Caenorhabditis elegans: one gene and its partner. The protein of the gene in region 2 interacts with the protein of the main gene of each other region in a pairwise test. Each region holds a gene or a part of one and is shown on either strand. Other genes may lie near its edges.

What was found. Proteins that work in one complex are often made in the same cells at the same time.
Region 1: the proteins of elt-2 (region 2) and kin-21 interact in a two-hybrid assay, tested with the Caenorhabditis elegans proteins (one large-scale study listed by BioGRID).

The regions. Positions count from the first base shown.
Region 1 is NC_003282.8:9,831,114-9,835,398, reverse strand, and holds kin-21 (Tyrosine-protein kinase), read right to left. Parts: upstream 2,514-4,285; 5' UTR 2,465-2,513; coding exon 2,285-2,464; intron 2,231-2,284; coding exon 1,736-2,230; intron 1,674-1,735; coding exon 1,557-1,673; intron 1,512-1,556; coding exon 1,056-1,511; intron 1,009-1,055; coding exon 886-1,008; intron 838-885; coding exon 577-837; 3' UTR 529-576; downstream 1-528.
Region 2 is NC_003284.9:10,479,625-10,483,965, reverse strand, and holds elt-2 (Transcription factor elt-2), read right to left. Parts: upstream 2,727-4,341; 5' UTR 2,726-2,726; coding exon 2,584-2,725; intron 2,534-2,583; coding exon 2,435-2,533; intron 2,392-2,434; coding exon 2,265-2,391; intron 2,221-2,264; coding exon 2,080-2,220; intron 1,986-2,079; coding exon 1,817-1,985; intron 1,772-1,816; coding exon 1,674-1,771; intron 1,628-1,673; coding exon 1,254-1,627; intron 1,090-1,253; coding exon 1,025-1,089; intron 867-1,024; coding exon 780-866; 3' UTR 525-779; downstream 1-524. UniProt on the Caenorhabditis elegans protein: Transcriptional activator that binds to the consensus sequence 5'-[AT]GATA[AG]-3'. Predominantly directs the transcription of intestinal genes such as ges-1, cpr-6, pho-1, ftn-1, vit-2 and lev-11, and itself.

The DNA.
Region 1 (4,285 bases), on a different chromosome or scaffold from region 2:
TTCATTCGGGAGTAGATGCGATTGAGTTTTTCAAAAGGTTATAGGAATACAAACCTTCTCAGTTTGAGTTGGAGTTTTGTCTGATAAAATATTATGAACATGCTTCGTGAGCAGGTTTTTTCATTTTCAGTTATGAAATTAGTTTCTTTAATAGTCAACAGTCTATTTTTAACAACTCATGTAAAAATAATAATTCAGCGTACTTAATTTAGATAATTGAGCACAATCTAGCTGCACTCCAACACAGAGTGTTTTTCATCCAACTGGCAGACTCAAAAAATCCGAAAATTAAAACCCAAAAACACAAAAGAAATTCAGATATCACCAACATAAGAATTTCAAAGATTTCGAGACACCAAGAATGTCTGAAGCAGAAAAGTTTCTAAGGAACTCAAAGATTGACAACTGTTATTGAGAAACTGTCGGAGATGTTCGATCAAATGTGAACAAAGGTGAGAGCATAGGCTTACTAGGTACTTTAGGTAGGTCTAGGTAGGTTATAGGTACTTTCAAAAAATTTGAAAAATCTCTCATCATTCATTGGTTACACGCGACTATTTTGTTGATTACATGAGTTCACTTAGTAACCATTTCCTGACTTATTCCAACTGCCCCTTTCTGTTCCTTCCGACGTGACGACTTATTCGTTCCATCAACACTCAAGTTACCACCCTTCGCCTTGTTCTTCCGTTCATTGGATCGATCGTTCTTCCCAGCATCTCTTGATTTCTTCCGAGTAAGAGTATTATTGGAGTTTGTACGATCAGTCGAAGTATGGCTCTTCCGATTCGTCTTGTTTCTACGATCCATATTATTTCGACGATCTTCCGATTTTTTCTGTAATTTTTATGTTAGAATAATTATAATCTGGAAAAAATGCCAAACCTTCTCAATAGCTGGATTAGGGCTCATTGGTTTTTGAGCATCAAGCTCCAGGGTCTTCTTTTTCTGTTGAAGCATCGCAAGACGGTTTTTGACTTCTCTGAAGTTGATGCGGACCGATGGAATCTTAAAATTGGAGAGTTAACATCAAGAAGAAACTATTCACACCTTACTTTTGCACAACAAGCATCCACAATCTCTTTCAACTCACTTGGATCTCCGTCTTCAATCTTATGTGGGTGCTCCGACTCTTTGATCCATTTTTGCACCTGCTTCAGATTCTTCGGCCACAACGGATCATGTGCACATCTCGTCATAAGTTCCGTGAGCAGTACTCCATACGACCAGACGTCCGTTTTCTCATTGAATAATCCTTTGGAGAATGTCTCCGGAGAGAGCCATCTGATTGGGGCCTTTTTCAAACTTTTCATTTTCGTCTCACTTTCATTCACTGATAAGCCAAAATCAGAAATTTTGACGTTCAGTTCTTTAGTGATCAGGCAGTTCCTTGCGGCCAAGTCCCGATGGATGACATTTTTGGAGGACAGATGCTTCATTCCACTGGCAATCTCCATTGCGAATTTGATGATTTGTTTACTGGGTACGTTTGGAGTACGTTGAAGGTATTTCTGCAAATTTTTCGATATTAATTAAAAATCTGCGGTTTCACTTACTCTCAAATCTCCTCCCGGTACAAACTCAATGACTAACATGATCGGCTGCTGGAGAGACGCGAATCCATACAGAGCTACGATGTTCTTGTGTTCCAGCAAAGTCATGATGTTTGCTTCCTGAAAAGAGTACATTAAATTGGCATCTTCAGATGGATCCTTTGTGGAGGGCTTAAGCTTACGTTGCAAAAGTCCACGAGTTGGGGCCTTTTGGCATCTCCGATGAGTCGTTTGACGGCTACTTCAGTCGGGACAGTTGCTCCCATTGGCACATATTTTGCTTTGATTACTTCACCAAAAGCTCCTCTTCCCAGCTGATTTTCCAAAGCGATTGAACTGTGTTGGAGGATCATCGAACATCGACTGATTGGTACAAGCTGATTGACTACCAGCGACCAGGCATCGAGAAGTTGATATATGTGTTCGTATCGCTTCACAGGAATCCTTGGAAACTTTTCATAAAGAATCGGGCAACTCCATCCTTCCGAGTTCCAGTTGAATTGAAAATGGAAATATTTGTCTTCAACTCGTGCCGTTATACACAGAAATTTGTGTGTTGGACCCATTGATCTACGGACAATGTAAGAGCTCTCCCATTTGAGTAGCTTCTCGGCAGCCTTTCCGAACATCATTCCATGATACCAGTTACGTTGTAGCAAGAATGATTTGATGTATTCCTGAAATTAATGAATCTTTAATATAACCTATGGAAGTTCTAAAATATCCCTTACATCATCATGCTTCTCAACATTGAGAACCAGATCTGGAAACGAATGTGCGTATTCAAGATCCGCTACTTTTCCGGCAACATCCTCATTGCTCACAGCAGCTCCATCAATCACAAGATTCGGAGAATATTTGGTATTACTTGATTCAGCAGTTTCACAACTTTTTTGATCAGGTGTTTTCATTATTTTATATGCAAATGATTTGAATTCTTGATTCTTCTGATCTTCATATGAAAGCAATGATTGAAAATAGCAATTGATGGAGTGGGAGGGGCTAGTGAAATGGTTCACGTTCAATTCGAATTTTTACAAATTTTTTAATTGTTTTGTTATATTTCTATAATTTTATATTGGAATATGAGTTTTTGCGGATTTTCAAAAGTTCATTTAACATTTGAACTTTACGTGACGTATCTAGAGCAAAGATCTAGGACAAAGATAAGAAGCTTGCTATAAATTGGACAGATTTTTCCATAATCTTCATAGAGTTCTCATAACTCCAACAACGACCGTATCACTGTTGAGTGGACCAACACCCCGGATGGCGCTGCCAAACAATTCCGTCGTGAATGGTTCCAGGGAGACGGTATGGTTCGTCGCAAGAACCTTCCAATTGAGTACAACCCATAGAGCCTTTATTGACTTTTTTCAATAAATAGTTTTAAATGTTCCTTGTTTTTTTGGTTTTGAACTTTTCAGTTTTTAAAACGAACCAACTTTGGTGCTTTTGTATCAATTTGAACACAAAATGTGGGAGAGCGTCAAGGTTAAAGCCGATTCTGTTTGAGGACCGCTTGAACTTCATTTTCCGGCATAAATTTGAAGAAATTTCATTTAAAAAATCTATTATTCAGAAAAATGTAGTGAAATCTTTTTTGTATTTGTAACAGTATTCGAGATATACAAAAATTTCTAACAACAAATGGTGTTACAGCGAATGACAACTTTTCGGCAAATACTGTTTTACTACTTGATCTTTTACTACGCATCTTTTTTACTACGGAATCTCTTTCACTACGAATTCCACATCTAGATCTTTTACTACAATTGGATCTTTTACTACGGAATCTCTTTTACTACGGTTTACCAACATAGCTCTTTTACTACAGTACGAAAATTTTCAATTTAAGAATTAAATTTTCAACAACATTATGCCGGCAAACACTCATTGACTACCTTCTCATTGACTACCTTTGCTCATTGACTACCTTTTGCTCATTGACTACCTTTGCTAATTGACTACCTTCAAATGCTCTTTGACTACCTCTATCTAATAAAATTTTCCAAAATTTTTTTTGAAAACTTTTCAAAATTTGATCAGAAAAATGCAATGTTTGTAGTTTTTCTAGTTTGGATGTTCTGCACACGATTGCAGACGAAAACCTGAGGTTTAGTAGAACACCTAAGCTCAAAAAACGCACTCACTTCGGATGCTGATATCTCCGTGGAAAAATTTTTTATGACAAAGTGATCAACTACAAAGTTGTTTATCTTAATCTAAAGTACAACTTTGTAGTTGATTGTTTTTTATCAAAAAATTTGTTGGTCGAGATAAAGTTGTGTAAAGTTCGGCACCTTCATGCTTGTATTTTCTTCTTCTTTTTCTGTTCATATCTCAACCAACAAATTTTTTGATAAAAAACGATTAACTACAAAGTTGTACTTTAGATTAAGATAAACAACTTTGTAGTTGATCACTTTGTCATAAAAAATTTTTCCACGGAGATATCAGCATCCGAAGTGAGTGCGTTTTTTGAGCTTAGGTGTTCTACTAAACCTCAGGTTTTCGTCTGCAATCGTGTGCAGAACATCCAAACTAGAAAAACTACAAACATTGCCTTTTTCTGATCAAATTTTGAAAAGTTTTCAAAAAAAATTTTGGAAAATTTTATTAGATAGAGGTAGTCAAAGAGCATTTGAAGGTAGTCAATTAGCAAAGGTAGTCAATGAGCAAAAGGTAGTCAATGAGCAAAGGTAGTCAATGAGAAGGTAGTCAATGAGTGT
Region 2 (4,341 bases):
TCAAAATATTGGAAAAATGGCGGTCCAACTTCTATAGCACCCCCTCTGATTTTTGACAATTTTCGGTAAAATCGGGGTATTCTTTGCAATTAATAAATTTATTTTGAAAGAAACTTCACACCAGCATAAGTTTTTCAACATGCGCTACCGAACTGTTTCAAACCGCCAAATTAGAGGGGGGGGGGGGGGGCAAGAGAAGTTGGACGCACTGTATATTATGCCATTTTTCAAAAATTTAAACAGCCATTGCAAACTTTGAGAAGTCTCATTTCAAAATTTGTTAATATGGGCGCAAACCTTGGCAATGAAATACGCGGTATCAATCTTCTTGGTTCACAGGTGCCCGGCGTCGTTGAAAAATAAATTAGTGTATTTTTTAAATTTTTTTTGAAGAACCCGTAATCAGAAATATTTGCTAATTTGAAATAACAAAGTTTTGCTACAGTATCATAAGTTTTGAAGTTTTATGACGCTTTTACGATATCCTGTAGTTAATTTCCATCATTTACATCTAGAACACCCAGAACCATAATAATTTTATTAAAAACTAAAAGTAGGGTACACATGTTTGTATAATTATTAGAGTTAGTATTTAGAGAAAAAATATTTAAAACATTTTGAAACTATACAAGTATGGATGAACACTTTGAAAACACTTTAAAAAGGCAGTTATTGCAATCAGTATGATAAATAATACAAATATGGTTTTTTTTTTGAGAATACAAAACTATGCATTAAAATGGACAACTTTGGAAGAGCTGAGCAATATTTCTATATGTTTAAGAATCTCCGTCGACCGCTTCCAAATCGCGAGCCGCAGCTTTGGTTTCATCATCCTGAACTGGCATCACATGAACTTGGATGTTCTAAAAAGTATTCCTTATGAAATGAAACAAACATGAAAGGTGAGCACTCGATAAGGTAATATATTTGACAACTGTTTGGTGTGTACATGGGAAAATATTGGGAAAAGCAACTCAACCGGTGGGATAAGCGAGGAAGTGGCAAACAGCTTCATACTCACATCGGCAGGTCTTAGGCCAGTCTGGTAGTTTGTTGCTGCATACACGTAGTTTTGATCGTTTGGAACTGAAATAAAATAAACTTTGAAAAGCTTGAATATCTTAGAGGGCTTGAATGCAATATTATGAAGTTATGTTTTTGTTGTAATTAACGCTATCCACCATTAATACCATACTTTAAGTACTATTTCAAGGTTAGTAGTTTTCATTTTATAAAAGTTGATCACGTACCCATCATCAACCCAGCTGTAGCGGCAGTGTTCCATTGATAGTAATTACTGTACGTTTGATCTGGCAAGGTGACGGCAGCTGAGGAAACGGGATACAAGTCGGCATGTGACACATATGTGGCAGTCGCAGCTGCGACGGCAGCAGTGCTCAGTTCTCGGTCTGCTTTTGCACTTCCCGCACGCCGGTTAGATGACCTTTGAGCCTTTTCGGTCGAAGAAGAGGCTCTCTCAAACTTCCTTTCTCGGGCCCGTGACGTTGATGGTGTGGAAGAGTCTCCGCTTTTTGATTTTCTCTTTCTTGTCTGTAAAGCACCTTCTTTCTTCATTGAGGTCGGCCGAGGGATGTGATGGAGTTTGAAGTAAAGCCCGCAAGCACTGAAAAACAAACCATTAGAAAAAAAAAAAAAAAAAAAAAACTCACTTGCAGACCGGATCTCCTTCAGCATTTCTTCTCCAGAGAGTTGTGTTGGTACCATTGCAATTGGAGCACACAAGTCCCTGCCGACGGGACGCAGATCCCTGTATTGATTTGTTGTACACTGTTGCAAACGAACTTTAACTTACGTTTGACCCCCTATTTGAGCTACTTGACTTTTTAGAGGATTGCTTGGCAATTTTAGCAGTTGGCTGCTCTGAAGGTATTTCCAGAATCGGGGGTTGTCCCAAAGAAGTGCTATACGCGACTGGAGGAGAATACGTGGTTTTTGGTGTTGAACAGTTGACGCACATCATTCTAGAAAATTATTCGTTGTAGTTTATTTCCAAACAGTGTACAGGCACATATTAATCCGGTAGTTTATTGAGTCATCGAAATTTTTCTAGCTTACCCTCCGTTTACTGCCTTCATCCCGGCCCCACAACTTTGTGAGCATTTGACGCATTCGTAAGTTGGAGCCACAGTTGGATAAGTAGAAGGGATGTTAATGGTAGGAATACTGGGGTCGTACAGAGAGGGTTTGTCGTATATGCTAAAGTTTGAATATGAAAGTAAGAACTTGAAAACATGACTTACGAGTTTGTATATCCCGAAAAAGTTCCAAGAGTGTTTACGGGAATTCCACTGTAAAGAGGATAAAACGGTTGCATGGTAGTTTGGTCCAACATTCCAAAGTTTGAGTAGTCTATGCCAGTATGGAAAACTAAAAGGAAGAATTAATCCAAATAACTTGAATTCACACTTACATGATGTAACAGTTTCCACTTTCGGCTCATAGTTATTTGTGCCACTTGTGATAACACTTTGCCGTTCAATTGGAGATGCGTAATCATTATCAATTTTCACTGAAATTTTATAATTTTATAATCCACAAGCATTTCAGTGTTTTGTTTACTTCTCGGTAGTTCACTCAATTGTGACTCATTATTTTGCTCTGGTGGATCCATGTTCTGAGTTGGTAGGCGCAGACCTCCCATTGGTTGAGATGGTTCCATTTCGGCCCAGCCGTTGACATTATCATTGTAGTTATTATCCATTCTATAATCTATTTTCTAGTTTCTATTTTATTAGAATGCCAAGAAAATCAAGCATTTATACATCAAAACTTATCAATGAAAACAGTGGCACCTAAAACATCAAGCAGTTTAAAAATTCAAAAATTCAAAAATGCTTCGAGAAGTGTATTTTCTTAAATACTGCCTTTAAAATTAAAACTATTTGAAGACAATTTTCAGACGAAGATATTACAATTAACATTTTCTTGCTCATTCCAAAAATTAACTGCAAAAATTAATTAAAATAACCCATAAAATAAGAACACAAAGATGTTAATGCCATAGTAACTTAGAAGATATCAGTGAAAACAGTGGCACCTCGATAGCTGTTCAACGATAAGACTAAAAATGATTGGGAAGTATAGATAGGCTGATTTTATCAAAAAGAAAATTGTCAATGAAGGCACAAAGCGTATTGGTTTGAAAAGAAAGATGGTGTGCACACCGAGCTCGGTGTGCATGATGGCTGGCTAGCGATTATGGCGTTAGTGTCGACTATTCTTATCAGTTTCAGCCCCGACCTCTGTCGCTCATATACGCAGACAACCACCCACTTCCAGCCAAACATGGGACTCGGGTCCGCCCATCATTGCATGTACGGTAGTTGGTAATTGAAAAAAGTGGAATGAGGAAGAAAATATTGGTTTCAAAGTAGCGTTTATAATAACTACAAAAAAATCAACTGAGGAGACAATAAGTAGATAAAACAGGCGATCAGACTTTTGATGGATACATATATCCAATTTTGCAAACAAACTTGAAAATTAAATTGAGTTTTTGCGTTTTCACTGAAACTTTCAAACAAGTTGCAATGCAGCTATTAATACTGCACATAGTAATAGTCTTGCTTTAATTTATTGCCAGAACAGATGTATCTAGTTAAAATGTTGATAAATTACTATCCTTCACAGAGTGAAACAAAATCAAAAGCTTTCAAGAATTTATGGTAATTTTTTTTAATTTGATAAGGCATCATTGTCAAAACTTGAATAATTTGTCAAAAGCTAGATATTCAAAAATTAGTATTGAACCTCAATTACCCTACAAAGTTTATAGTGCTCACCAATTGGAAATAAGTTTTGAATACAATACTAATGGAGAAAATACGGCAAACTATACATTTTTAACTTTTCACTCATTAGTTTTCATATAATTTTTAAACTGTGATGTCACACCATAATTTTAAAGACAAGAAAACATACAAATACATATAATTATCAATAAATGATATTATTATAAAATAAAAAACGCATATTTGTGAGATATGAAAAGTACGCCCTTCTATGTTTTTTTTCAAGAATACCGGATCAAAGGGTACGCTTTTTGTTACACAGTGTGTTTTACGGAAACATATTCAACATTTGGAGGACAGTTCTGTCTCCAAAGCTGACCAGTTCAACATTCTTATAAACAAAACGTGATGCGACCTTCAAGTTGTCTGGAACTTTTGTGATTCGGGCAGGATAAGGAGTATGAAGAATACAATAATGAAAAATAAAACAAAAAAAGATAACCTGTAGAAAAATTGATAATTTTCAGTTTTTTTCGATAATCAGCCACACACGCACATAATATTACTTCACACCCCACAATATCAG